3 linked regions of the Styela clava genome follow. The protein of the gene in region 3 purifies or fractionates together with the protein of the main gene of each other region. This does not show direct contact. Links are inferred from orthologs where the notes say so. Each region holds a gene or a part of one and is shown on either strand. Other genes may lie near its edges.

Evidence for each region.
Region 1: the proteins of SWI/SNF-related matrix-associated actin-dependent regulator of chromatin subfamily E member 1-like (region 3) and uncharacterized protein LOC120342568 purify together in Homo sapiens (affinity purification with mass spectrometry; 4 studies listed by BioGRID and IntAct, counting the BioPlex papers as one, with this or other methods). This does not show direct contact. The link is inferred for Styela clava from reciprocal best matches to the Homo sapiens genes SMARCE1 and SS18.
Region 2: the proteins of SWI/SNF-related matrix-associated actin-dependent regulator of chromatin subfamily E member 1-like (region 3) and uncharacterized protein LOC120331925 purify together in Homo sapiens (affinity purification with mass spectrometry; 7 studies listed by BioGRID and IntAct, counting the BioPlex papers as one, with this or other methods). This does not show direct contact. The link is inferred for Styela clava from reciprocal best matches to the Homo sapiens genes SMARCE1 and ARID2.

Annotation. Positions count from the first base shown.
Region 1 is NC_135252.1:18,835,110-18,845,897, reverse strand, and holds uncharacterized protein LOC120342568, read right to left. Parts: upstream 4,844-10,788; 5' UTR 4,028-4,843; coding exon 2,708-4,027; 3' UTR 833-2,707; downstream 1-832. Other genes in the region: uncharacterized protein LOC120342202, read left to right, coding at 1-101. UniProt on the Homo sapiens protein: Appears to function synergistically with RBM14 as a transcriptional coactivator. Isoform 1 and isoform 2 function in nuclear receptor coactivation. Isoform 1 and isoform 2 function in general transcriptional coactivation.
Region 2 is NC_135255.1:16,056,424-16,066,379, reverse strand, and holds the start of uncharacterized protein LOC120331925, read right to left. Parts: upstream 3,928-9,956; 5' UTR 2,910-3,927; coding exon 2,818-2,909; intron 2,553-2,817; coding exon 2,459-2,552; intron 1,530-2,458; coding exon 1,432-1,529; intron 685-1,431; coding exon 578-684; intron 1-577. Other genes in the region: WASH complex subunit 3-like, read left to right, coding at 4,257-4,307, 4,416-4,580, 4,981-5,159, 5,269-5,364, 5,645-5,747; ER membrane protein complex subunit 2-like, read right to left, coding at 7,168-7,278, 7,689-7,790, 8,029-8,142, 9,261-9,342. UniProt on the Homo sapiens protein: Involved in transcriptional activation and repression of select genes by chromatin remodeling (alteration of DNA-nucleosome topology). Required for the stability of the SWI/SNF chromatin remodeling complex SWI/SNF-B (PBAF).
Region 3 is NC_135255.1:11,565,167-11,576,059, forward strand, and holds the start of SWI/SNF-related matrix-associated actin-dependent regulator of chromatin subfamily E member 1-like, read right to left. Parts: upstream 4,869-10,893; 5' UTR 4,795-4,868; coding exon 4,788-4,794; intron 4,518-4,787; coding exon 4,426-4,517; intron 3,759-4,425; coding exon 3,648-3,758; intron 3,413-3,647; coding exon 3,344-3,412; intron 3,187-3,343; coding exon 3,046-3,186; intron 2,581-3,045; coding exon 2,505-2,580; intron 2,097-2,504; coding exon 2,013-2,096; intron 1,545-2,012; coding exon 1,366-1,544; intron 613-1,365; coding exon 511-612; intron 1-510. Other genes in the region: leucine-rich repeat-containing protein 46-like, read right to left, coding at 5,920-6,897. UniProt on the Homo sapiens protein: Involved in transcriptional activation and repression of select genes by chromatin remodeling (alteration of DNA-nucleosome topology).

The sequences.
Region 1 (10,788 bases), on a different chromosome or scaffold from region 3:
TTATTTGGGCGTCTGTGACGGCCCTTGCTTTGTTTCTTCTTCTGTCTATTGGAATATTGGCTGCATGGACGGCGAACAAAAGAAAAAGATCTGGAAAATAGTTGTGTAGTTCATTAATTTGTTCAATTTGCATTATTTCATAATACAGAAGTGTTACTGTAATATAATTTTGTATGGAGACTTGTTCCCAATAGGCAAATTAGTTCAGGAAACCTATAAGGTATGGTGAGACACGTTGCCGGTTTTGTACCGCGATAACGTTGGCTGCGAAGTTTGGGCAAAGGATTCGAGAAGTATTGTTAATTTCTCACATGAATTTAGGCATAACCAGACCGGAGGTATCTACGTAAAGGCGCCCGTGGCAAAGTTTAAAAATGCACCTCAATTAAATTATATCAAAACTTTTTGCTCTTTTTTTTGCGTTCCAAACTGGCATGTGATAATTGCCATGTTTCCAAGAGGGGTGAAATTTCTAATATCTGGGTTATACCGCATAAGCTAAGAGCTACAGCGGAAAATGGAAACATTTTAATTTTGCTTTATCACAAAGTTATTTTTGTATCGTAATAATATTTATACTAAATAATTCAAGCTGTACAAAAGTCAGTGCAAGTGGCGCCTATCATCTATTCAAAAATTGAATAACAGAGTTTTTATGCTTAGTGAGGAAGAATGAGTTTTTGAGTATATAAAGGATTACGCCAAGAGCGATTGGAAAACATTGACCTACATCATATCGAGTGACGTGTCCCATTCATGACAAAAGTCACTGGCCATATAAAGTGAGTGAGATGCCTACTCTTACCAGTTATCACATAGGTTAATGAAATGCTTATTTTCAAAATTATGTTTATTTAAATTTAAAAAATGGCAGTGCAGTGAACTACGGTACAAAATGACAAACTACAAATTTACGCTAATAACACATTTTCTGATCAGAAGAGAGTTTGAGCTAAAGAACTTCTCAACCGATGACAGGTCGATTTTTATTTCAATATCATATTGAGATAAGGTTCTGGTTTACTACAGAATAAATCGGGTGGTTTTCATCCTTCTCTAATGGACATGGTTACGAAAAGTCACTCCAAAATTCGAAATATTTGAGTATAAAGGTTCACCCAAATTTCCACCTACAATGAGGTGTATCTATCCAAAGTTATTAATGTAATAACAGGCCATCTCATTTCAATCTAGAATATTTCAAAACTAAATATAAACTGAACCCATTAAGATAACATTTGATGCGAAAGTTTACCCAAGAATAATTATTTTAATTTTGGTTGTGATTTTGAATTATATTCACTAACCATCAAAGAAAAATATAACTCCAGTCGCTCAAGCTTGAGTGACAGGAAATTTTGAAAAACTTTAATTTGAAAAATAATATTCGCCAAAGTATTTAAAAAAAGTTTCAGGAGTTTATTTTTCTCATTTAAGACAGTTTTGGCAAGTTTCGCGCTTTTTGGTTGAAGCCCTCGATTTGATGACATTTTTATTTTAACTCAAAATTGGTACTTCCGAGTATGTGAACCAAGATGGTGGACATCAGAACGTAGTATGTGGACCAGGTTAGAATTAGGTCATGATTTTAGATACAAATACTATGCGAGTCACTTGGCTAGTAGTCCCCAAACTCGTAATCGAACTAAAATAAGGAAAATTGAAATAAAATTATGGCCTAACCCCAACCTGGTACACATACCATGTTCTGGTGTCTGCGTCTTGGTTCACATACTATGGGAGCGCCTTAAAATTTTCTAAAATCGTTTCACTCATTGGAAGCATCATATTGATTCGCATGAAATTTAATGAAGTTCATTTGTTGGTTGAGCTATAGCAATAAGTTTATAAAGAAAAAAAAAACTATTCACATACAAAACGAAATTGCAACAAAAGTATAAATGCAAAGGCTCAAGGCATCCAAACTGATATCTGTTATAATCAAGAAGTACGGTATGTCTATACAGGGTGTCCAAAAAGTTCCGCCCGTTTCATAGCATTACCAATTGCAAATTTGAATAAATTTTGTTGTATGATAAATGGGGACTACAACATTCAATATCTATAACATCCAATTAGAAACAGGTTTACTATAAATTTTTTTTAAAATAAAAAAAAAACTTTTGATTATAAAGACTTTAAAATCGGGCGAAACTTTTTGGACACCCTATATAATATTTCCATGACTTGATTACTTTAAAAATAAATAGCGTTTTCAAGTTTTCTTAAATTAGGGCAGTGAGTCCGTGACGTTATGAAAGACAAACACCGATATCTAAAACAGTCCAATTTAAAAAACAGATGAATTCACAGAATTCAAGAAAAGAACGTAGATTATTGCAAGCAAAAACAGTTCTAATATTATTGTTATGATAACATTCATTTAATATACAGAACTATTTGAATTTCATGATATTCCGAAGCAAATTGTTGTAATTGCCCTTTCAAATCATGATTCGCTTGGTAATGGAACAATATTTGAAATACAAAATGTACAGTATGGAAGCACAACGAAATATCAAGCCCTTTCACAAGCAACTTGTGTGTAAAAAAAACTCATCAATATAATCAGTAAATCGTTCCGGATTTTTTATTTCGAATGATATGTAAAAATATAATGATCAAGTTATTACGGCAGCATGTGATACTTCATTTACGACAAAAACAACTGTATAATCTCATAAACAACATGGCAATCAGGTTGTGATTACTGATAAGGCATTTGCTGCTGCGGTGCCTGTGATGGGGCAGTAGGCTGCTGACTATAATGGGGACTTTGCTGAGATGGTGGCGTTGCATACTGAGCAGAGTAGTTTGGAGACTGCTGACGGGGTTGTTGTTGTGTGTACTGCTGACTAGGTGGAGGCATTTGTTGCCCGGCTGGTGGCACAGGGTATCCTGGGTAGCCAGCTGAGCTCTGTGGTGGGCCAGGTCTCCCATAATAAGGAAGGGGCTGGCCTTGTTGCTGCATCATTCCTTGGTGTGTAGAAGTTGGATATTGGTGGGGTTGGGGTCCTTGTTGCGGATAGTTTGCAGATGACTGCCCTGGGTGAGGTGCACTCTGATTTGGCGGGTAGCCACTAGAGGGTGGTGGGCCATATCCTGACGGCTGATGATTATAAGGACCTGCTTGTGGCTGCTGTGGATAGACTTGTGCTTGACTGTATGATGAGGGGGGAGGAGGCTGCTGATAGTGAATTTGTTGTTGCTGGGAGTAAGATGAAGCTGGTGGAGGCTGAGGGTACGACGCAGGTGCAAGCTGCTGCTGATTGTATGAAGCCTGGGACTGTGGATAAGATGCAGGAGGTGGGTGTGAAAAAGAAGTTGTGGCCTGGTTCGGCACTGGCATATTACTCTGCATTGGCTGTTGTTGTGGTGGATACTGAGGGGGCATCGAAGTCGTAGCTAGTGGTGATTGTCGCTGGGCTGGTGGGACGGGTGTGTGAGGCTGACTTGGGTCACTTGGACTTCTCATAGGAGTTCTGCTTCCAGCAGAGTTTGGTGATCTGCGATATTGCGCTGGAAAAGTACCTTGCTGTGGCTGGCTGTATGGAGTCTTCGTTTGTGGTGACGATCTGTGAGGTGAAGCATATGCTGGCGATACCGTAGAAGGATTAGCAGCAGTCAGTTTGGGTGTTGCTGCTTTTGGGACAGTTTGATTCGGCAGGGTTACTATTGCTGAAGTCTCGGGTGCTGGCACACTAGAAGATAGTAAACTTGATGCCTCAGATTTCATAAGTTTGGTCGATTGTGGCATTGGCATTCCACCGATACCCTGTTTGGGTGAAGTTTGATTTAGCAAGTTTTGAGCATTGCTTTGATTAGAGTCAGCGACAGTAGCCAACCATACTAGATTGCGATGTAGAATTTGCTGATACTGTGCACATTCTCGTCTATTCCCGCTGTTTTGATTATCAACAATGCATTGAATTAAATGACTATTTTCATCCAGAAGTTTTTGTATAGTTTCTTGTGTAACAGGACCTTTGCTTCCACGAACATGTTGAGGCACAAACACACTAGACATATTTATTAATAGTCAATCTGCATTGTTAAATAAAAAGATATTCAAATTAGTAGAATAATAATATATAAAGTGGATCTCTATAATCAGATCTGACCTACCTACTCACATTTTGAATAAAAACGTGTTATTTATTAGGAAATAGATATTGGTTTTCATATTTTGTATATATTTGAAAATCTGGCAATTCTCTACTTTGTAATTTTGTTTCTGATGAATGAAAATATAAGACATCCCCCAAAAATAAGCCCTAGTGTTATTTTTCGGAAAAAAATTTAAAAAAAAACCAGTCTTATTCTCGGGAAAACACTGTAGTAAAAATCTATAAACTTATGGTCAGAATTCAGAATAATATATGAAGATTCTAATCCTAGTGAATGATTTGGTATCAAAATTGAATCCCAGTACAGCGCATTTGGCGTGATAATGTTTTACCCATTTTTTTTTGGTATAAAGTAAACTTTGAGGCAGCGAACTCTTGCAAAATTTGTTCAACTAGTTAATTTTTATTGAATTTTATAGAATTGCTTTATATTGAAGATGATAGATAATTTAAAAAAAGAAATTCAGCATATTAGTTACAGAAATAAGGAGAAAAATGCGAAAGCATGATAAATTACATCATGTCAATTTAGAGGCAATGTATAATATTCTGCAAAACCTTATATCCGGATTAAATATGTCAAATTTATGACATAGGTCAAGTGTGTGTGTTACCAGATGAATCAACATGGCTAGTTTGCTACATAATAGCATTTTTTTTTATAAAATCGAGACTTTGAAGCGAACTTATAAAAAATCATTGTTAGCAAAGAAAAAAAAGAATTAGGGTCTGGTATAGTTTAGTACAACATGCACTTCTAGTTAGCCTGGCTCAACAATTTTTGCATATGTCAATCCTAACCCTTACCTGACTACGTCACCGAAAAATTCTGTCATCTCAACGTCACAGTGACGTAATAAGACCCACCAAAGTATGCGGATGGTCGTTCAAATCGCGCAGACGATCACCTGAAAACGAGCAAGCTATTTCTCTCGTTTTCTTGTCACAACGATCACGATAGGGAGAGAGATCGCCGGCTTTAGCGAGTTCGTTATCGGAAGCGCAGATGCCATTTCGGGCTATCGTAATTATAATTTGGCAAGCCCTATGACGTTAGGGTGACGTCGTAGTGACGTAATTTTTGAATGGCATAGTCAGGTGGTGGTTAGGAATAAATATGCAAAATTCGTTATGCTACGCCCAATGAAAGTACTTGTGGTACTAAACTATACTAGACCCAAGAATTATACATGGTGTCAAAAAAATTTCGCTTGATTTTATAGTAAAATCAAAAATCTGGCACTGGTACCTACAGACCTATGTCAATAATTCCATGAACTTATTCAATCCAGGCATTACAATACAATTTATTTTGGCATTTTGAAAACACAACACTGGGTAAAAAAAAATCATATTATAGAAATGCCTGAAAAATGAGCAAAACTCAAGAATAAAGTTTATAGCATGTAATGCGCATGCTCGTTCACCAAAAACAACACACATAATAACAATTATAATCAAAAGAGACTCGACGAGCAGCAGTGACAGGCTCGTCGGATGTTTCATGTGATAGGAAAATGAGGCACGCATAAAAATTGAAAAAATGACAAAGTACGGTCCGGTACATAGCGAACGCAAAGGCCGCAAACACATTGAGGCATAATTGCATGTGATTGAAGAACTGCAAACTCCAAAAATTTCCCTCCATTTAGCTCTATAAAACAAGGACTCTATGTGTCTCACAAACGAGGGGCGTATAGGACCACTTCAGATGCGTCATACCACACCATGCTTGTCCAAATAATAATCTAAGTTAATCGCGGCCAAAACATGACCAAAATTGCCGTTTTTTGCTAAAAACTCTCGAATGATACAATAAAAAAAATTTTCCTTCAGTAAATCGGATTATTTTTTCCCAAGGAATTCAATGATGCCGTTACTAGATTGCGCTTTTTTGTAGTATTTTGCGCAACTTCATTATACTGTATTATTACCGTTATTGAGGGACAACAATGTCCAGACGTCTCCCAATAGAGGGGTGTCTGATCATCTGTAAAATGGGTTTCTCTGGAATGGGACAATGTCATCCGATTTGTAGCTAGTGTGCCGTGCACTTGCTACATGAAAATATCAAAATTTGAAGGCAGCATTTGAAATATTCACACAGATTTACAGATAAAAATACATAAAAAAACAAGAATGACAAGTAAATACAGAAATAAGGGGTAAAATTATTTTTGACAACAGAAAGGAGTAAACATAAAACAATCCTAGTTACGGTACTGGACTACCGGTACCAGTACTGGCACGGTACCGATATCATATTTCGGTACCGGTATTTATTCCAGAGGCAGAGGGGCATGATCTCCTGAAGTATAATAGTTGAAAAAGTCTAAACTCTGTGACAAAACAATACTACTGTATGGGTAACATTCGGGTACGTGTTACAGGTTCACCGTGCCGGTCCCGGCACGGTACCGGTACTTCGTACTTGACGAATGCTGATAGTCCTGGAGTCCAGCGATGACTGCGCCGGATAAAATTCAAAAGCTCTTTAGTGCTAACAGTGCTGGATGAAAATGGAAAATATAAATCGTTAGGTGTCACTGTTCGAAAATAGTAGTGTTCGGAGTCTAAAATAATTTAAAATGTCCTCATTATTGCCACAGAGATATATAAATATAGAGTGTGCTTCTCTCTCGTTTTCGCGGGACCATTTGAAGCCTCTCTCGTTTTGACGTTAGACTTCCAAATTTTGCGTAGCGCGTAATGTATTTCATATGGGATTTGACAGATACCAATTATTTGCGTCGATTTTTTTTGTATATTCGCTTGATTCGTTTCTTATTATGTATGAAACGCTAATACATCCAAGCTCGCCATACCGTGCTAATTTTTCATTTTGCATTAATCGTGGATGAATAATATTGCCTAACCAATCACACAGTAGGCTACATTGCTCCGAGTGGCTTACCGGAATCGCCAACCCATTTTCTTGTATTTGGCCATAGTTTACCTAGCCCGGCTTCATATTTTGTGCGCCTTAATACCATTTTTTGCTAATTAAAATGTTATCGGAGCTAAGACATTGATTATTGTAATTTTCCAAATGAAGTTGTTTCCAATTTAGAATATATTCGATTTCCAAAGTTCAAAAAAACTTCATAACATACCGTATATGCTCGTTTAACCGCCCGGTCTTGATTAAGCGCCCGTTTGAATAGCCGCCCGTGTGAACAGGACATAAAAATAAATACGGGCCGGTGCTTGAATACCCGCCCGGTGTGAAAGCTGATTTTTCAGTGGTAAAGAGCAATAGGAAATAAGAAGCGTAATATGAGGGAATTACTCTTAAGACGTGAATAATTTGCGTTTGACATGGAAAAAGGATTAATGTCGTCAAATATTTGTCTTCAAAGATACCGGTACCGTAATTTTTGTGTATAATTTTACTTTAAAAATAACAAGCGCCCCTGCTTGAATAAGCGCCGGTTTGAATAAGGGCCCGGTTAGTGAGTTTGTTTAAAAAAATAAGCGCCCGGGCTATTAAACGAGCAAATACGGTATTCTGTATAGCCTATTCAGTTTTGGCCACACCTCTGTAATATAATAAGAATCAGAAAACTTGGATAGATAGCGAAGTTTATTTAACATCCAGTCATTAGCCAACAAACCAAACAAATAATAACACACACTAAGTAAACATCTCCCCCACATGAATAAGGTTGGCGGTTCACATTTTACATTATACCTATAATAAAGCATGTTAATTTATTGTAACTAATAATCGTGAAACAATAGTAATGACACAAATAGGACAAAATTGAAAACAGTAGTGGCAAAAAAAGCGTTTCATTTTATATCGCACAAATGAAAACGTACGAGATAAAAGGTATGAATCAGTACTTGTTCAGAAAAGACTGGAAATACTTCTTAAAACAAATTTTAAACTTAAAATTTATTTTAGGTTTCCGTTCCAAATTATCACCCACATTACGTAATTTTGGCCATGCCAGGATGAAAAATGTGATACAAATAGACAATGATTGACCTTGTTTAATAACTTTATTTTAAAATTATTCATTGCCAATGCATGACCTGTTGAGAAAATGACGAAAAATTTTCCTCACTGGTGCTGAAATATAATTAACTTTGACAATTTTTTTCTTACATTAACTGCAGAAGCTTGGTCATTAAACTCTCGTGCCATATGTTTGGCCCTTATGCCACAATATGCTTTAATAATGGCCTTCCCCATCAAACTAATATGGCAATCACCAAACCCTGTATCGCGCCAGTGGTTTACAAGGTCGGGAAAAATAGGCTTATCGATTAAACCATCTTGCACTGCAATAACGATAGCATTGATGAGCCCAGGGGATTAGGGCAGTCTACCTCCAGAGGTAGCTAATATTCTTTGAAAACATTTTTCAGTTTCTCTACAAACTTTTATAACACTTGCTGACGGAACTGTTAATCCTCCACGGTTTTTAAAATATATTAAACTTGAAGTATGATCAGTAGATGATACGAGAGCCTCCTTGCATTTTATGCAAAACATGGTATCTCGCAGCCTCTTTGCAACAAATCCTGCAATATATTTGATTATTTGAAGCTTGTATTCTGACAACCTGATTGTGTTAGGTATGTCAGCATAGTCATGGTCAGAAGTTAGTGGAGTCCGTGGTTCAAGGTCATATTTCTTCATAAAATATACTGAGCTTAAACTCATATTATGATTAGTCAGACTGAAGCTGTCCAAAACATTCAAAATGCTTGTTGCATCCTGGGGCTCACAGTTCCCTCCTGTGCCTTTTACCCCACTTCTCATAAGCAGTCGTTTATAGGCAGAAGTAAATTGTTGCACAGTTGGATTATTATTGAATCCCCCAGCACCTCTTACAGCACAGAAAAAGAGTTCCAAATGATCCGGACTAAATTTGTACATTAAAAGATATTTTAAATATTTTGAAGTGACCAAGTCATTGAACACGCCTTTTGCACTGGATACAGATAACAAAAAGCCAATAAAGCCAGTTTTTCTTCTTGACATCAAGATTGGTCTTCCTGAAGAATCCTTCAACTGTGCAATGTATGCACATGCTTGATTCATGAATGGTTACCAAATATGCTTATTTGAAGGTCTTAGTGGCTCCTTAAATCGTTTAGCGAAGGGATTTCTGGAATTTAGCACATCAAAAAGCTGGTCAAAAATTCTGATAAATTTTACAGTTGCTTCCACTAAACTGCTTGAATTTCAGCACCGTATCAGAGTATTCGATCGCATCTGCAACACTGCTGCTCAGGGTTTGAGCAGCAATATCAACTTGCATGGTGCAAGGGTGTTTCGGACTAATTTAAGCATGTGACAAACGTCCATGAAAACATAAATCCGCTCAGATGGGCACGAAGGATGAGTAAAAATATGATTGCATGCTTACATGCGAGGCAACAACTCCTAACTGAGAGAGCATTGAAAAATGACAAGATGGCCCGTCACAAGTTAAGGATACCACCTTGGCTCCAGTTTCACTCAATCTTTGAATCCCAATCTGTATGATGTTTGCTCTTTCTTCTCCGGTCAATCCATTAATGAGAAAATATTCCAAAGGTACTTTCCAGGACCCATTCACACAAACAGCCATCAAAACAAGAGCTTCCTTGGCAAGTGGGGCAGAATCATCCTGATTTTCAGCATTTCCCAGGTCAACAAAGCCTCGATACCTTTCTCCATCCCAAGCAACATGTTTCCATTTCATCAATCATCATAGCACAAATCAATGGGACCTTTCTCCATCCCAAGCAACATGTTTCCATTTCATCAATCATCATAGCACAAATCAATGGGTGCGATGCAGCACTCACCTTCAGCCGGATCGCATCAAATGCAATTTTTGTGAAACCAGGCTCAGCTGGAAGTTTCTGGTACCATTTTCTTATTACGCTTGGATGTGGTAAAGCCAGATTTAAGACTTTCCGCACATATTGATACGCTTTATTTGAATAGAACTGTAAAGTCATAGCAAAAGTTTTTAGCTCCTTGGGATATTTGACGCCTTTTCCAGTTTGTAAATTCATTAAAATTCTATTGAAGATTGATGAAGGTATAGATCGCTGTAGACTTTCTTCACATGAAGCACTCACCAAGTTTTTCTTTCTCAGGGACTTTAGCACCGTTTCAAGAGATTTTACATGTTTTTGCAATCGATATGTTTTTTTTTGGCAAAGCCGGAGACGTTTTCTTACTGCTTTTAAATGTTGTAAGCTGAGATTTAATTTTTTTAACTTTGTAGGTGAAGCAATGACCTGTGAATATGAGTGGTCATGGAGCACATTGTTAAATTTCTCCTGCACTGACCACTTCTGCCTTACACATGAATGAAATTTTCTTTTTGTCGATGACTTTCGCTGTTCGTTGACCTGCAAGAAATTTTGATGATCATGAGCATGTCCCACTTTAGATGCGTTGAACCGAAGCATGTGGCAAAAAACGAGAATTTTAAAAAATTTAGAAGGCATTTGTTGTAAAAAAAAATCTCACACATCACATAAACAGATGATTTTATATAGTTATTCCGATAAACTAAAAATTAAAATACATAACAGATCAAGTCTATTACCATAAGCTAAAATACTAGGTATCTGCATGCTATAGTGATCTTAATTGCCCGATATATGAAAAAAACACCCATTAAAATATGTGACAGGATTTTTTGTCGCT
Region 2 (9,956 bases), about 4.5 Mb from region 3:
AGCATTAACATATACAACGTCATTGGCAAATGGCAATAACAAGTTAGTTATCTCTGAAATTTATATACTGGTATTATGTGCCACATGAATCTCACATACAGAACAACCACATTATTTTTGCTTGAATTAATAAATATTAGATCAAAAATGTTTTATATCGAATAAGTTTTCTTGGTTATTATTACAATAGTTCTCTGTGATTCAACAATCTTGCAGGAACGAAAGTTACAGAAATACATTTGTGTTGATGTGCAGCCAGATAGAATAGTCTCTCGAATCAGATAGAATAGTCATCTTTATTATTGCTACAGCATATTTAAATTATACATTTACCATGAGCTCAAAGGTATGGAGGGCAGAGTGGATGGTTAGTTACTATAAATTATATTTAGTACCTTCTCATGCCAAGGTAAACTCAATCATAAAAGTTGAAGTCCATAGTTGCAAAGAATTCACAAAAATTCTAATAACAAACTTTTCATTGAAATGAGAATTCTCGTCGAAATATATACGAAAAAATTCACCTACAGATAAAACACTTTTCGATAAATTTATCAAAATATTAAAAAAAACTAACCAGATATTGGATATCTGAATCTTCTCAATTTTCCGTCGTAAAGTCGAGAGTAAGGTTGTGGCTCATCGTCACCAAAGAAATGAACCCGTTCATAATCTTCTAAATATCTACGAATGAGTAAAAGTAAAACGTTGAAGGTATACGTTAATATGAAAAATGAGACAAGGCTAAAAACCTGTGTAAAATAAGACAATTAGAAGTCTTTCCACAGTAATTCTACTTGCGCCAGACAGAATCTTAACAAATCAAATACCTTCTACAAGAGACTCCTAACAAAATACTACAGTATTTTCATATTAGTTTTATAAAGTCTTGTTTCAAATTCCACAAAACCTATGGACTGTTAGCTCCTATTATTGACAAATGGGTTACTTGATAATTTGACATATTATACACTGACAAAAAATTGGCAATCCTGTCTTTTTCTAAACAACAATTCAAACTGTGGAAAGCTTTAATTAACATAGAAAAGCAAATAATTTTATAAATGCAACCCTACATTTTCAAAATCACAACACACAGCTGCTATACATTACGAATAAGAAGAGAGTATTCCAATGGTATCATTAGCAAACTGCATCTCAAAGCTTTCAAACTGACTTCATTTTGAAGTGAACATGTATCACTGACTTAACATGGGTTCATCAAAACAATGAAAATGATTGGTGTAAATAAGGATTCTAGCATGTACCTGCTACTTTCGTTTCGAATATTTTTCTATTAAATTGAGTTTGATTAAAATATATATTAGTTTCGTCTACTTCTCTATTAAACCCAAAACCTCAAAATACATTTAATAATATCTCAAAATATTATGGCTTTGGCCAGCAGGCAAGGCAGGCTTAAAGACTTACAATTGATAAATCTTCTGCAATCCAAAGGCAAGAGTCGCTGATATTCCAGGAAACCCATAGTATTCCAAAAAATCTTCCCAAAACCCTCTATCAGTCACCTAAAATGAATTGATCCATTGGTTAGATTACATTTACACATAAAACACAATTAGCCCCCACTCGATGATGTTAGTTAGTAGCAGTAGCCAGTGCTACTTGGCGTGCAGTATAGAGAACAATTTCCAACAACTAGTCAAGTTGCAGCATATATTCAGAGAAAAGCCTGTATACTATTTGTGCATAGTATCTATGTAAATAAAATTATAATGAAATCTGGAGACTGAAAAACTATGAAATTGCATGTCACTTAAACACTCTCAGAAAAAAAGTTGTTACTGTTTGTAAGCATGTTGAAATGAAATTATGCATACAGGTGAATTGTTGTGGTTTATTACCTTACGCAGATATATTTGTTTTTGTCACTAAGCTAAGACTGCAAAAATCGGGCAAAAAAATAACCAAAGCAAGCATACAGCTATTATCAAGATAATGGCCTTTAGTTACAACAAGAATAATTCACAAAAAATTATATCCACGATAAATTTCCATATGTGAAAATCTGGAAAACATTGAAATTAAAACCATCTTGAAATAAGTTTGAGGATTTTAGTTTAATATCATAATATGTGTGGTAATATTTTACCTATATTAATTTAAACCGAATCAAACAGCATATAAATAATGAAATTATTTGGAATTTGCAAACATAGATACAATACCAACATATATATTACTGTACATATCAAAAAATTTTAGTCGCTTGACAAAATATAAATCATGGAAGTCAAGCCATGGCCATAAGTTGTAAAAGCCATAAGTAAAAATAAAAAGGGTATAAACACATACATGCTTCACCAAGAGTGAAATTACATAAATTGTCTGATTGTACAAATACTGAAATAAAATGAAGAAACAGTGAGGTTCACTAATACAAAACAGTGAGAAAGAAACAAGAGAAAATGCATCAACATAAATATCAACAACAGACCTTCTGATATCCGCCAGCTTGAGTAATTTTGTTGTATAAATCGTGAAGATCTATCGTTCGGCCAGCAAGATTTGGAGTTCGACAAACATATCTCCTGAAATATTAATAACATAAAGGTTTAGAAAAAATCACTTCAACAAATAAAACAATCTACTACTGTACTAATTCTAAAATCAAAACGTGAAAGATTTAACATCAAATAAATTTTTAAATTTGGATTTCAAATTTTAATACATATGATGCAATAAAGACTTGACTTAAAATTGTTTAGATGAAAAATCAGTGTGTTATGATTTATGCTTGTGTATGCCCTAAGTAGTACAAGAAGTTAACTGAATTGTATTATGGCTTTAGCTTACCCTTTGTCCGAAAGAAATTGACTAAGCTCATTTAAAAAAGCTTCCTTTTGTCCTTGCTCAGATGAGTTGTGTGAATCTCTCCTACTTTCCATATTGAAAAATTATTGCTTGGAACATTGGATAATATCAATATATAGCTGTAGCAACACATAGCATGAGTTACCTTTGCACGTCAGATATATTTGCCTGTACTCCTTGAAGCGTTTGCAAAACGGGCTGCCAATCAGTCTATCAACTCTCCTTTGCCGGTATTCTCGCACAAGTCGCGTAATATAAAGCGGGAAATCTAAATAAGTGATACGTCTTTCCACGGGCGATACCCGCGATCGGGTGTACAAGGCAGCTGGCTGGCAGTGAATTCAAACGCTTAGGTAATATCTACTGAATCAGGCGATGTGACGTTCTGATGAATTTGGTATGGCTGGATTAGATAAATTAATATCATATATATTTGTCTCTCCTATTCTCGGGAATACTACGAAAATCAGGGCAGAAACATTCCATAAACGCACTTATACTGCCCAACAACGATTTGCCGGCTTTCCTAACTCAGTAATTGCCATCGACGCTCTAACACCAAAACCTGTAAACTGATAACTATTTTCCGCTCTTTTTTCCAAAACTGACACAAGTGAAGCGAAATTAAGTTCGGCCAGAAAAGATTTAAAATCCAAGTTTTACCAACGTCACAAAATCGAAAAATCGACGTCTTTGGTGAGGTAATAATGTGGCTAAAATGTAAAACGGCCTCCATTTTGTTTTTAGGCCAAGGGAAGGCAAAAATATCTGAAGCGCGCCGTTTTGTTTTCGCGACTTGGCCTAATCAACTCTCGATACTCGACAAATCATGCAGTAACGGCCGATTTGGAACCCAAACGCTCGACTCCCACATTACATACGCATGAGGAAGGTCCCGCATAAGCCGTGTGCTATTTCTTTGTCTATGCGTCACCTCGTCGCTGACTGCGCTCAACGGATAGAACGACCGCTGGGCAAAGAACGTTGTAATGGCGGCTGATCACGTGACAAATCTACCACATCGATTCAGGCTAAAAATATGAAGCTTGGGGTAAATTTTCAATAGTTTTTTGGTGTGTTTGGCCCATTGGCAGGTCCACATGCGCGCACCTCCAAAGTTATCCATTTATACCTTTGTTTATCCTAATGCGACGTCGCTTATTTAATTTTTATAAGGCACCTTGCTGCCTTTTTTCTCAACTGTCGATCGTCTGCTGATTTTTGGTTTGTTCTTATAAAAGTCATTCACCGTATCGTATCCTGGGCTCGCTGTTATAGAGAGGGATTAGGCAGCGGACATTGTAATTTGAAGAAATGTTGTTGTTTTTACTAAAATAAAATACAGCTAAATAAAAAACGGAATAAGATTAATATATGCGATTATCAAAATATATGGACAGTAAATAGTTCAGTTCAAAATAATGGATGACGTTAATCTTCCCGCTTTGGGACCAACTGTGGATCTTACAAAAGTACGTAATATTTGATAATTTTTTTTCTACTGGTACCGCTACTGTAAACTAGACCATTAAATATTCTTCCATAAAATGATAATTTACCTGCGTATTTTTTATTTCAAGATGGCGCCGCTTAATCAACGGCGTTCTGTGACATTTATGAACCACTTTATCACACACACTGCAAATTTTCTCAATAAATTCTCAAACATGGCAGAGGAAAAGTTGGCATTACAATCGTTAGAGATGCAAAGAATGGAAATAGCTCTGAATATATTAGAAGCTAAGGTGACTTTACTTTATTTTTTCCAACAAATGAGAAATATTTTCATTCAACAATCAGACTACACAATAGCTGTTGTTTATATCGGTATATGCTTGATAGTTGAAAGTTTTCACCAAATCACCAAATGTTATACACAATTGTGACAATATCACTCATATATATATATTCATTAATATTATATCGATGACGAAAACAAAATTGGATCGATCATTATTTTATAATAGCAAACTATGGTAAACTGAATGTGACTTCAAATAAAACTATTTCTTCTCTTTTTGAGATGGAGAAAATTAAAAAAAAATTATAGGACTGATTGAATACGTTCTGTCTATTGATTTACAAAATGCATATTGGCTTAGTTTGATGTGATGGCCCAAAACTTAATTTCAATTGTATTTTTAGCTTTCATCCATTCCTGGCCTTGATGATGTCAAGAAAGAGGAACCGTCACCTACTCAACCTGCCTCAACAGAGCCTGTCAGTACCCCTACCCCTAATGGGGTTGAGGCCCCTCCCCCTGCTGAAGATAATGAACCACCTGCCCCTGATCCTAATGTTGTATTAGTTAAGAATGATGCCAGGTACTGTTCTAAAAAAATTTTCCTAGTTTATCTGTTATTTTTCTAAAAAATTTGTCTTTACTCATCGCTTCTTCTGGTATATTTGGTCTTAACAATTTTTTACTTCTAGATATGCCAAATACCTCAAGATGGTGATGGTAGGTGTACCGAAGATGGCAGTTGCAAATAAAATGAGGGCTGAAGGTTTGGATCCAGATATGCTCGAGTAAGTTGGATCTGGTGATGTTTTTTTCAAATTTCAAACAAAAAAACCACCAACTAATGCTATAGCTGACATGGACTGGTAATCGGATGCGAGGATGTAGTGTGCATATGAAAGGGTTGTCTCTACAGCTTTTCTCTCCCATGGCTATTCTAAATATATACCAGTCTGGTTTGTAAAAAGGTCAGCAATTTGATAGGTTTCAGATGAATATTTTAACCATGTTAATGAGCATGAAATTGATACCTATGTTTGCAATAACAGTACTTTGTGTTAATTTCAGTACGCCTGATGCCCCTGTACCTGATGGTGGACAAGCTCCAACTGATGAAGATTCTGATAACGAGAGTCAAAGTTTATCTTCAAATGACGATTTCAGTGATTGATTGTTGCAGTGTTTTTATTTATTTTTCTGATTTCTTCATTGGTGCAATATTATTAAGCATATTGAGATTTTAACAATTTGTATATGTTGTTTCAATAGCAGTTACAGGTTGGAGCTGCTCTGGTGTAAGGAAGTTAAATTCAAGTCCTGTTCGCTCATGAAATCTGCTATATAACAGTGGTTTCGAAACAGGATTCGAGTACATTCTAGGCCAGGGTTTCTGGGAATTTGCATTCAAATCTGAGTCTATAATGTTATGTGTACAGTGTCTCAAGCTTCAGGAAGAATATTTCATTGGGGCCCTGCCCTACCAAACAGTTTGAAAATCGCATGGCTGGCATTTACCAGGACACCCCTTCCAATACAAACAAACTTTGAATCAGTGATCTTTATTACCTTTTTCAGAGGTGCAATATTAATTACAACATAAATAAAGTTCGCAAATAATTTAATACACATCACAAATTTGCATTCTTCCTCGATTTGAAGGAGATCATTTAAAACCACAGAATCAGAAAAATAGCATTTGTTCTAACCTATGACAATCAAGACATATCGAAATGAACACAGCGAATTGCCTTTAATAAGGCAGTAGTACATTCAGTGCTTGGTTCTCAAACACATAAGAGTATGTCAAATTGTTGTGTTAATACTTTCTTCATCTCTTTACTTATTCTTAAATCCGATTCTGTATCATTACTTGCAATTGAAAAAGAAAAGTGGGAGTGAAGTTTGGGGGCAAACTGGTACCTGAACAAATTTTCATAGCCTTCGAAGGGCCCAACTTAATTCATAAAAAAAACCAGCTCAAAGATGTGGTATACCTGTTCATTCTGTTGTACGGTGCTTGTATGTAGTACCGGTAAGTAGCGAAAGCACATGCCAGTTGTAAGTCGTGTATTTGCTAGCAATTAGCACATAAATAATAGTTGCGGGTGTGTCACAATTTAAGGTTTCAAGTGGTGATTGTTTATGGGCGGAAATTGATATTGCCCACTTGCTGCCGTGAATGTGCAAATTTGGCCCAACAGTGCAAAAGGTTTGCTGACTACTCCTCTGAAACAATTATTAGAACTCAATTTCATGAAGCACCATTCAAGATTGACTATTCAACTACATCATTCGTTTAATTTTCTTAATATTGTTAAAGATGTCTTTATACAGGAGAAGCAGTCATCACATCAAACTGGTAATAAAACAAAAATGACAGCACTGATTTTCTGAAAATTTCTGTATGTGCCAGAATTTTTTTAAATGTGGAGTTGGTTAGATTTTTGTCCTGTTTGGAATACCAGGTCAAAGAATGGAACCTTGTAATAAATAAAATTTCAACAATAAGACCACTGTTCTGTTCACAATCCTTTAGTCTCTTTTGGTGGACGGAAAACACAAACAGTGATGAGATAATTGAATACTTTTTCTCATGTTGAATTCAAATGCATTTCCTTCATTAAGTCTGTAACTCCACCAGTCGTTAATTCTGGAAAGTCTTCTTTACTGCGGGTTGCACCAAGTTCTTCACTGCCATGATTCTGTTAATAATTAGTAAAAAATATAGTCTGCTTGTGTACAAACACTCGCAATTACCATCGTACCAAGGATTAGAAATACAATGCAATGGTGACCGGTCAAGAGCCCCCTGGCACACCATGTGATTAGGACTTGTTATTGCCTTTCCTCTCCCCCGGGAAGAATGTGAAAATCCTATCCCCTTCCTAGTTTTGACCCCCCCAACCCTCTTAACTTGGGGGGCAACCACGGAGACGGCGCATCTCTCACATCACATACCAATTTGTTATGATCGCCCTCATGATATTTTTACATCTAGAAGCCATTCGGAAATGATTTTCCCAGTTTATTAAATATCATCTAGAATGGTACAGTAGCATGGTTGGCAGCATAGCCTGCATTGTCAATACTTTAACTTATGAAGAATAAATACTTTATGCTGAAGTTGAATCATCTTTGCTGCCCAACTTGCATATTTGCTATTATTTTTCTTCTCCTTATCTGTCGCTTTACTGGATGATAATTGGTTGCACGCCTAAAAAGAAAATTTGAATCAAACAATAAATGCAGAGTAGAACCTAAAAAATTCAACCGAGAAAGATCTAAAAAGCCGCTCCTAAGTATTTAATACCTCGCTTTTTCAGATCTAAATAATAAGATTTTATTATTCAAATCAAAATCATAATTTGTAAAATACCCAATTTTTAATAAAATTTGTCAACATTTTTGAACGAGTAAAAAGGTGATAAAACATCAAAGTAAGACCAACTCACCAGCAATAATCCATACAATGCCCTCATATTTGAATTACGACTTAAATAAACTGCTTCTGCAAAGTAATCTCTTGCTAATGATACATTCTCCATTCCACCCTGTGTGTATTTGATCTGAAAATAATACAGCATGGTTATTCCCTGATATTTAGGTGAAAAATTACAACCGATTCAAACTTTATTTTTATTTTGTCAATAACTGGAACTACTCTCCATATCTCCGCAATGGTCCACTATTAATGATTCCAACCTACTGTACGAGACTTTTATTTTCTTGATTGGTAATATTCACTCCACTGTGTTCCATCGTTCCCTGATTGTGAAACATATCCCAAGTTTGTTGTTTATGGATTGACAGACATGGGTAAGATTAAGTGTGTATTGTTTGAACTACTACCATGCTATTTTTGTTTTGTGTGTCATTGAGTTTGTAGTTAATGTGATAGATGGGATCATTTATTTTAAACTTACACTTTTAGACATACAAACAGGACAGAAATCCAGAAAAGTTGCCAACACTTCAAACGAGAATATCGGTCGGAGACCGAAGACTTATCGATCGGAGGTTAGGGGATCCCCAAAACAGCGCTCTTACTCTATAGTGACACCGTGTGTCCCCTCACTAATTAATCAATAACTCGCTAAATATACGACATAATTCATCGAAAATCAATAGGCTCCTGTTCCGAACTATGATGAATGCACATGCAAAAGTTGGAGCAGATTCAACCTCGCTTTCGTGAGATATCGCGTGTATCTAACAGACAAACAAATAAACAAACAGACAAATACCGATCTTAAGATCGATAAGTAATGAGGTTCATAAGTGAGACATTAAAGTGATACATGGGCAATCTCACCTCATGACATACAATATAGGAGAAAAACACGATAAGCTACGGTGTGATACAGAGGCAAAAAAATATTTTTTTAAAGGAATGCATTCATAAAATCTTTGGTAAAAAGGATCACCATGATAGTGCCATTGTGTGCCAGAGATGAAAAAAAAAAACAGTAATAAAGTTTTAACAATTCATAGTTTAGTTTAGATATTTTAAATAAAGTTTAGGAATAAATCTAAATTTTGTACGAAGTTTTAAGATATTTTACAATTTTCTCCAAAAGCAAGGGGCCGCACAGAATGCTTTGAGAGGCTGCATGTGGCAGCCTACTGGCCATAAGTTACCCATCCCTGGTCTAATCCGACTTATGACTAAACAAATATAAACTACCTCTGCGTATCTTTGGTGATATAGATGATTGAGAGGTTGCGACAATATGACTTCTTCCATGCAATATGAAGCTTTTCCATATCTGAAAAAAGAAATATTTTTCCAAATATTCTGTAATATTTAAAACCATGTTTCAGTATTGAAAAGCTATTTAAAGTCATATCTAAACCGAAAAATGTCCTCGAGTACTGAAACTTGTGGGTACAATCATACACAAGCATAAGATCAAGTGTTAGATAAATTCACTCGTTTCTTAGAAGTAATTAAGAAATTTATAGGTTTTGGTTTTTTTTGGGGGGGCACCCGTTACTTCATTTGAAATTTGATATGCCATGATGTGAGATATAAAAGATAAGATAATTAGAGCAAGTCTAAAAACATTAACCTTTTATACTAAATTTAATGATAATTAAATGATAAAAAATCAGGGGTGGATAAACCATTCTTTTTTAATTTACATAATAGTATATTGGATTTAGTACTCCCCTAAGTATGTGAACCAGGATGGCGGGCACCGGAACGTAGTATGTCTACCAGGTTAGGGTTAGGCCATAATTTTATTCCAATTTTACTTATTTTAGTTCTATTGCGAGTTCAGGGACTAGCCAAGTGACTCCCGTAGTATTTGTACCTGAAATTATGTCCTAACCCTAACCTGGTACACATACTATGTTTCAGTATCCGTCATCTTGGTTT
Region 3 (10,893 bases):
TTAGAACGCCAAAATTTCTTCCTTGGTTTTTGCACAAATATTAGTCATTTCCAAAAAGTGCGCACACACCCAAATTTCTGCGCACACATACTACAAAAAATTAGAGGGAACATTGGTCCTATTTATTATCTATGCCTATGACGTTACAATGCCCTAACAGCTAGCTTGTGCAAAGCAAACAATGCATTCCATAGTAACCAAATTTTTTGTGCCGAATTATCCGATTCCACCCAGTTATTTGTATCTGGCTCTCCTGCATTGACAGTTGCACACCCCTGGTTTAATATAATCTAACGAAGCATAATTCGAAGATACCGGTGTGCAAACAAATATGTGAATATAACCGAAAAACAGAAATCAAGTCAGCATAACAAGATTTTTTCATATTTACTATCAAAAATATTTTACATAACAATCATCTCAACATGCCGTCAAGTTACATTGTGATGAAACAGAAACACGGCCTCACTAACTCCATCCATTGGAAGCAAAGAGATCATTCAAACTTACCCTTTTCATTTCCTTGCCAAATTCTTTAGCTTGATCAATCCACTTTCTCTTCTTTATGATGTGTGATTCTTCAAGATGAACAAGTTCAGTCTCAAGTTTTTTCTACAAAAATGAGAAAGTTCCGATAAAAAATATCCCCCAAAAACCGCAAAAACAAAATGTCAAATTAAACAGGACACATAAAAAACAGGGATGGCAAAAACTCCAAAAATTAAGAATGTAGAACATTGAATATGATTAATTAATTCAGATTAGATTCGTATATTCGATTCACATCTGTGGTAGAAAAATACAATTTTTATTGTCCTACAAAAATATAAATAAATCTGATTACAGGAATATAGGCAGGCAAATCATAGGCTTAATGATTATTTTTCTTTTTTTAATGTTTGCTGTAACATGATCAGATCCTTATCTATTTGAGCTATTATGATTTTTCATCAGTGTACCACAAAGGCAAGGGTCGACAATATTCTGAATAAAATATTCCAAGAATGTTCAAGAGTTTTGCTGCACACTAACACAGAAGTATTCTGTATCGTTTCAACCGTTATATAGTTCAAGGGTTATAGTTAAATAATCATTATTAAAATATAAATATTGAACTTGATAATGCAGAATATTTATCCCATCATTGTGTCAATGTTTAATATAGTTGGGACGAACATTGTTTCATTAATTTTCTATTTTCACAGCATCAATCTGAAATGCTGAAAACGACAAACTTTTCCAAATTATCCCCAAAACCAAGAATTTCCTATACCGATATAACCAATTTCTAATGGATTCGAAATCTTTAAACCACACTTTTTTTATATGACTATTATTTCACGCCTTTATTACTAATCAACATACTTGATGTAGCTCTAATGATTGCACTTGATTTTTCAAAACATTTAGTCTTTGTGATGTCACCACAACGCAAGTACTAGGTACATGTACTGCTTCACCCAATATATCGTTGACTAATCGATGGTTACGTTGGAATCTAGCAGCTGCAACATGCTTCACAGAGTAGCACATATCTGAATCCTCTGCAATGAAAAGTAGTATTTGCTAGGTTACTAATGGGTGGATAGCTCTTGTTAATAAGGAAAAAAACAGCGCTGCGCTTAGGAGGTTCTGGGGACATTGGGGACAGTTATAGATCTTATGACACACGCTGTTTGTTTGCACAAACTAGCTAATAGGATGTTGGTATGAGCTTTGTAATGCAAAGGAATTGTAATTACTCGTACATTAAATTAAAAACTCGTTACGCATTCAAAATTGGCACTTCTCCGCAAGCGGCACAATTTTTCCTTGTGGGCCGCATATGATCTATGGGCCACAGGTTGCACACTCTTAGCGTACACCAAAACTTTGATCTAAATTTAATTTTCCATAGAGTTTATCGCTGACTTAGTTTGAATTTTTTTCCCCAATCAAACCATAATTCCATAAATAAACCTTCATCACTGATCCAAGTAATTGTATTTGACATAAAAATAATTCTTACTTACCAACAGTTTCATCAATAGGTTCAATGCTCATATAAGCATCGTCTTTGTCTGCTAATCCTTCAGTAGCAGCCATGATTGCTTCAGCTGAAAATTTGAAAAATCAGACAAATATTAAATTTTTGAGAGGTGATGTGCATAAGATTTGTATTTATATAGAGAAGAGAAAGGCGGTGCATAAGATTTGTATTTATATAGAGAAGAGAAAGGCGATATGACACTGACAACTTAATCAAACGGTGAAAAATGACCTATCGTCGGGAAATCAGTCTATGTTGGGTAGGGTAATAGGGTGATTATGGCACCAGATTTGGCTCTTAATGCTCCATCCAGACATGAGTGATATTTAATAACAGCAATTGCGGTTATTGAAACTATGAAAAATGGAAAACGGGCCATGTTTTATATCTCATAGGACTTATATAGTTGGTCTGAACTAAAGTAGCATATCTAGTTACGACATTATAATAATTGAATGAAATACTTCACACAAACCTCTAGATTTAGCTTGTAGATATGTTTGATATTCTGGTGATAATTGATATGCCTTCAACAGTTCAACATGTTCCACCTGTAATTGAAACATTTATTTAAAATGCATTATAGTTAGGTGGTATGGCTCATCGTGCTAAGCGTTAGGAATACGCTCGCCACCGCACCTCTGATTACTCTGCGTGGATTCGCAGGTTCGAATCCCATGCGGTGATGGCTATGTGCGAGAGGATTGCTGGACTCCTCACCGCCGTAGGGTGGTTCACGTAACCGCATCAAGTCCATTCTTCTGAAAATAAATAAATAACTGATCCCATGACTAGTGAGGGAGGAATAAAAAGTTCCAAAATAGGCAAAGGGAGGAATTTAAAGGAAAAAGGTTGGGAACTATTGAATTCTGAATACCATGAAACTGCATTTGAGCTACCAAAAACTTCAGAGGTCAAAGGTTAGAGCTCAGAGTAAAAAAAATAAAGCGACAAAGTCCCTGTGGTTTCGAATCAGCTTTCTGGCCTTGCATTTCCAGTTTATATAAAGAACCAACTTTTGCAATTTCATATTCATCCATATATTGTTGTCGCTCAGTTGCTGGTAATTCTCTCCACATTTGTCCAATTATTTTTCCAACCTCCCACAATTTTAAATCTTGATTTTTATTCTGATTTGCTCTCACATCATCCCACACCTGAATTGTAAAAATGAGAAGTAAAATAGATTGAAATTCAATGTTAGTGTTCATATAAATAAAAATGAAATTTCTGTATGCTTTAAGAGTTATATGGAGCTTTGTCCCCAATGATTTGAGAGTTCACTCAAGAACTAAATGAGTAATAATCTACTACCTTTCTGCTATATCTCATGTAAGGCATCAACGGCTTTTCAGGTGCTTTTGGTGGCTTCGGCAATGCACGCTAACAATAAAAAAATTAACACAATTAATATAAATTTTGATACGAAGACCGATATAATAGTATTTCTCAAAACCATAAAAATGGATAAAACTTCCAATGAGTCACAAAAATATTACTGTAAAATTAAGATTACTACAATACCTACGAAGCAATTTAAAATACACTAAATAAGTGTAAGTCCAGTTTTTTTGTAGTAAAACGATAGGTGTTCAACATATCACAGTAAACAACATACCCCAACAGATCCATGTCTCTTTCCCCCAGTTTGTGACAGATTTCCAATCAATAGTCTAGTATTAGCAGGATGGCTGTAGTAGTTTTGAAAATATTGATTCGAACCAGCAGTCTGAAAAGTACACAAATATTGTTATAAAATATAAATCTACTTAACAGATACATTTTATACTCAGTTGAAAATGCGGTAGGCTTTGATTGCAACGAAATGGTGTCTTTCATACTTGAAAACAAAATATATTGCCAATATCCAAAACTATATTTCAAGCATTGTATGAAATTTTCTGATTTATCCGTAGGAGTGAAGCAAGTAAATAAGACAGCTTCATTATATGGCAATTCACTATAATTTTTCGACCTGTTATGCATTTAATTGGATGACGGAGAAAATTAAGTACTTTAGCAACTCTATTATACATGCCTATTCTCAAACATGATTTCAACCTATGAACCACCACAGGGAAATCAATAATCATGTAGCAACTGACATGTACCACTTTTCTTGCACTCTGTACAATGCACTAATCACAGAACGCTCATGGTACATAGTTTGGGAGGAAAGCAGGGAAAACAAGTACTGTGGTATAACCCTATCTTATTTGTCCTATGTGAAATGGTAATCAATCATATACGGTAGTAACCAGGGATCTATTAAAAACTGCATGCTAAGAGCAACTTGTTTCTTACACAAACGGTCAAGCAGTAGACAAGGGTTGACACTGATCAACACAACAAAAAGTAATGTTAAAAAAATAAGAAAACAACAATACTATGCTTACAGCTGCTGCAATGTTAGGTAAGATGTGACTTTGTGCTGATGGCATTCCTATATTTTCACTTGAAGCAGCAGTAGTGATTCTTGTGCTTCTTCCTGCAAATAGATAATATAGTTGAGGTTCAAAGCTGTACAAGACAAAAATCATCAACCAATACATATCGTGGTAGATCAGCCAACTCTCAATCAGGTGACACACCATGGAAATCAGTCTGAATCTATTTCAAATCTTCTTATTAGAGTAGAATAATTTTTGAAATAAATAACATTATCTTAATCTAACATATATGTAACATTTTTTTTTCATTTCATATATTTACAATTGCATATAAGGCTTTCAAAACATGATCACCATGTTTAACTTACTTGACATTGTAAATGGTTGAGAGATGACACAATTCAATTAAATATTACCTATTATCAGATAGCAGAAAAATTTATCTACAAAAATAAAATGTGCATATGAAAGTTTATATTACTAAGAATACCCACAACGTAGATATATTAGAAATCTATCATGAAAGAAGTATTCTGTTTACCAATAATTATGGATAAACATACCAATGCCAACTACCAATAGTCAGAATTCAAAATTCAAAAACTGCTATTATTTCGGATTATTGAACACCAAAATTTACATATCTATTTACATATACCAGAAGTATAGATGGCATGACATATATTGTTGATGTTTTGGAATTCGGGGTGTCCGTAGTATCAATTTCAAAGATAGGATAAAACCAACTGGATTACAGACAAAAACTTATGTGCCCATGGAAATACAAAATATCAAAATATAAGCAGCTTTTCAATCAAAATAAATACAACATTGAGAAAAAAAGCATTATTCTGAATGTTGACAAGTATGAAGAAAACAAGCAAAACACTTTGCGAATTTTCAGCCATGTCACGTTATTGAATATAAAAGTCAAATTCATTTATTAACCTATTTCAGAAATCAAGGTTTCCTTATGTTTCCAAAAAGTATTAGTTAATGTGAAAATGTCAATTCAAAAATATATAAAATTTTAAATCTCAAATACTTTTCCCCATGTAGCTCACAAATTGTGCAATGCAAGAAAGCAGAATTTAGTGTTTCATAATAAAGCATAAACTCGAGCCGAAATGCTTTGATAATACAAAAATTGGATTTAAAAATCAACTGAAAACAATGATGTTTATCACAGCAATTCGTTAGAATACAAGAAAAGACCTCCTTCATTAAATTTTATTACATCAACAATACATTGTACACAATTGTCATAAATTTATACCCTTGGTGAATAGACATAAATTAGAGAGAACTTCATACAAATATTTACACTTGATAGGAACGTGAACATTTTTAATAGAATAGTATTTGTTTTGACTAATGACAAGATTCATAATTTCAGGATTTTATATTAATTGCATCATTCTGAACTCATTCTAAAACAAAATGGACTTCTGATTATCTTTTTGCCATGATATGCCTCTGTAAAATTTATACAATAATATTTCAATTTACAACTCTTTTGAATGGTCTAGCACCCGGAGTTCGCACTCTTGCGATTGGTTTCTGAGATTCTTTAGCAGAATTAGTCCGACTTCTAGGATTTGTATTTCCGATTCTTTTACCACTAGGTGGATGTGGAGATATTTTTCTTATAGGACTTTTAATACTTGGTAAATCTGCACGAGTAATTCGAGTATCTTTCTCCAACTGACGAATTTCTTGCTCAGAAAAACCAACATTTTTATCTGGAATTGGGCTTTCTGGTATAGAAGTAAAATAATCAAAATCATCTTTAAGTTTCACTTCTCCGTTACCTATAGCAGTCGAAAATTTATGCAGCGATTCGGTTATTTCTGTGGTAAGTTTATCATAAAAAGCCGGTTTATTATGAGTGTCTTCATCAATATTTTTAGGTTTTTCATTTTGAGATTCCTCCTCATCGTCACTCAATTCTTCTTCGTCGTCACTCTCATCTTCATCCGAGCTGATGGAGCAATCAACCGATTTTTCATTGAGAAATTTTAAATTTGGCAGTTTGTCACAGATGCTTCCAACATGATGAGATGCTTCTATACATCTATTTCCAGTCAAATTTAATATTATCAAACTATTTGGCAATTGTTCAGTAACTAAATTTTCGATACAATTATCGCTTAAATCAAGAAATCCCAAATTTGCCAAGTCTTTTACTCCTTTCACTTCATTGATCCGATTCTCAGCCAGAGTTAAAAATCGCAAATTAATTAAAATGGAAAAGTTAACCATTTCCTGTATGTGATTACATTGTAAATAAAGATTGGTAATGCAAGGCAGAAAGTCCAGCAAAGGAACAGAAGTCAATCTTTCTCTATCTAATCTAACATGAGTAAGATCAGACAGCTTTTCAACTAATGCATCGACATCAGTGTCGTTTTCTATTTTCAGAGTTTTCAAATTTCTTCGCACTACCAGGCCAACAATATCCAACGTATGATTTGACATTGTAGATTTTGATGTTCAATTATCATCCATTATAATGTCAAAGATATAAATCCTGTTCACAAAACATTTCAATCTTGAAAAATCTCATCTTCGTCAAATGTGTAGTATTTTAACTGAATCATTCTATTTTGTAATCTTAAACAATAGACACAAAAAATTAGACAACATAGCGCAAAATATACTGGTATATCATATCTGGTTCAATATTTTGATAGCTTTTGTTTGATCAAAAGTTTGGATTTATATTTCCAAAATACATTAAATCCCATTTATATGATACTAGAAACAACATTCGAATATGCTATTAAGTATACCGGTACATATGGCATATTTGTCTATAAGAGAAACAAGACAAAAATGAGCCTAACTTACGAGGATAAATTTCACACTTGATACAACTAAAATCAAACAAAACTTGGTCATACATTGAAAAGAATTGTAATACCAAAAATTGGAGGAACATTTTTGAAAAGGTTTGTTGTTCGTTTTAAATCCTTTTAATTACAATATAATCTTAATATAACAATATGAAATTCCTCAGTTCAGCATTAATAAGTTGGACCAGAGTTATACAAATATTTTCAGTCAACAAAAAAAATATATTTCAAGAGATTAGGCTAGCTTGATGGTGTCAAAAGTGAGCTAATTGTGTTTTCAACTTCTTTAGACGATTGGTTTGCCAGCGATGCACTATATTCCACTCCAAATGGATGACGAGCATAGACTTTCGGTTCTATGTTGCTACATTCTCGGATAAGGATTGGGAAACCAGGATTTTCTTTCTTGATTGCGACATATCTATTCTCTACAAAATCTCGAACTCCTTGACTGGATGATGACTTCTGACATAAATGTATTCGAAGTTCACGAATGTGCTTTGACAAATTAACAAGTTGCTTTGCCGCCATCTTTTATTCTTCTTTGGATCCCCTTGAACCTGCTCGTATATATTACTGTATTAGTATTGCAGAAGCAATAATAAAAAATAAATATAAAAAAATGACAGTTTTTTATATGATATTTCCACACTATTCACACCGAACAAGGCCCTGCATAAGCAGCTATTGCAGTATTGATAGGTCTGTAGGTGGGAAGCTGCTATTTTCAGAAAACAAAACGAACTAGCCTCTTAGCTAGTCTATGTATGAGTAGGACTCTGCCGTGAACCACGCTATGGCATTGAGGAGCCCCGCAATCTCCTTGCACATAATAAAATGAATTTACGGCTGCAGGGTGCTTTATCAAAAAACATTCGTCTGTCTGTCTGGAGTTGTGCACTCGCGCATCTTTACTCGCGCAGCGTTACTGGACTGGCGTTACCCAAAGTGACTATAACTAACTATTTATAGTCACTTTGGCGTTACCGTGCCGGTAGTGCTCTGACTCAAATCAAACTCCAAATAAATACTATATAATATATCTGAATAAATATATAAATCTGACAAAAATATCTGAATATTCGAGAAAACATTTTGCGATACAGCTTTGTCTGAAAGAAAATATGCGAACGCTTTGCGCAAACTGATTCATGTGTGAATGCAGTTTCTCGAGAACAGCATTTGCGAGAACAAATTTTCGCGTAAACGTATTTTTCAAAAATGTAATTTTGTGACAAAATATTGAAATCTCGGACAACCTACTTTTCCGAGACTGTAAATTTATGCAAACGAATTTTGCAGAATTGCAGTTCCGACATCGTGACACTGGACAGAAGTTTGTTCTCGCAAAGCTAGGTTCTCCACATCCTTTTTTTCGTGCATCATACAGTGAAAGAAGATCTCTGAATAAACTAGAAAAATAACCGAAAATAGAGATGAATTAACGATATATAGTATGATCAAAATTTATCTAATAATTATCTTGCCTGCAGCAAACATCAATAACAAAACCAAGAAGCGTGTTGCAAATGTCGTGTTCAGAAATTTTACTTGAAACAAAATGCGATCAGAATTATTACATTCCAACTCTCTATATTCAATACGCCAGCTCATTAAATACCGTAGGAGATGAGATTTTAAAAAATTGGTAATTATAGATATTAAGAGAAAACGACACCTCTCCTGTTTCTACTAAAGTAGGATAGGACCTATCTCATTTGACTCTGAAATTTAATTTGAAAAAGTGGTGCGGGTGCGTGAGCATGACCATGTGCTTTAGCGGGAAGGTTTTGCCGATAAGAAATGATAAATGTTCGATATTCATTATGGAATTTATTATGTCTTATCTGTATGTAATGATTTATATTATTATAAATAAAATTACATTTATTATAAAAAAATGGTATTGCAGCGTTACGGTACGGTATTGGTTATCTCCAAACAGTTAGGTACGGTACAGGTAGCATGTGTCGGCTGTCGCATTGTATTTCTGTACCGGTATTTTGGATATAAGATGCGATAGGTTAGGTACAACAGTACAATGCAAGGGTATATGACATTTGAGTTGTGTTATAGAAAAAATCACGGTATCTTACTAGCATATTCATATATTTGAATATCATGATAATGGTACGGTACATTTTATAGTTTCAGCAGTTTTGTTCTGTATTTTCAAAGCATCCATTGGGTTTCACAATGCGATATAAACAGTAAGTCAGTAACACAGTAATAGCGTTTTATATTCACCCATTGTTTACACTGTTATGACATTGAATTTGTGAAAATTCATTCAAAATAAATTTTTGAATTAAAAAACAATTGGAATATTTTTATGATCATATATATTTATATAGCTTCAATACTTAAAATATATCGAAAATATAAAAAGTGAAACATTGCATACAGATATATGTTGTAGGTCGGGGGTCGGCAACCTTTTGTCGCTCGCGGGCCAAAATTAAAGGTTGCAAGTCATTGGTGGGCCGCACATATTTTTAGAAAGTTAATATCCGAACGGATAGCCGATTAATCACATTTTTCACACAGATCAAGAGTTAAAGTTTGAGCAGCGCACAAAGACTGATCATTTGAATATTTTCTGCGCCAATGAACCATTCGCACTCAGCATCAACTTTACTGCGTTTTGTTGCCATTTGTCTGATTATAATTAAATTGTAGGCTCATCAAACGAGTAATCGTGAATTATATATTTGTTAGGATATAATATAATTTAGTCTCAAAATAAATTATGTTAGGTAAAGAATATAATCGTCAAAACAGCTGTTTTGTTACTATAAATATAATTTAGTGAAGCGTCGCGGGCCGGATTATATTGCCTCGCGGGCCGTAGGTTGCCGACCCCTGTTGTAGGCTATCTCATTCAATTCATTGATAGTAATGCTATGGCCATTTACTTTTTTCATATGTATTCAGTACTTCGGTCCTCGAGTGTAATGATTGAGAGAAATATTGTTTCTGTGGAAAAATAGGTTGGCATCATGTTATTAGTTATAATAAAACCCAACGAAAACATTTAAAACCTCAATAACTACTCGATCTTCGTTTAATAAGCTATAAATTAATCCACTGGTTTCCGTGTAGTTCACAAGTCAGGTACCGGTACTTGAATGTGAATCATGGGAAAATCTTTTACTACTGGAAAGTACATTAACCATCATACTGCCATAAGATGTGGCAAGGTTCAGTAACATGATTGCATGCTCATAAACTCTTTCACTCAGAAATAAGCTGAGTGATAACAATTGTCAGTTTGTGTTGTTGCTAGTAGTGGGATTCAGCCGGTTTGCACCTGTTCTATAGAACCGTCTCACAGAATTTTATGAGTTCAGCGAACCGGTTAGCATTACTGAAAAAAAACATGACTTTTTGTAACAGAACCGGCTGATAATATGACATTTGTGTGATGGAACCGGCTGACAAAAAATTTGAATTCCACTACTGGTTGTTGCCTAATCTTGAATCTAGGTATTAATCTAATTTTGTGGATTTTTTAATTAATGCATTGCTATTGCTAATTAATTCGACTTTCATCTTGACACCTGGCAGCATGATCACCACCAATCACAGAATCAACTGATCAATTTTTCAGTGAACAATT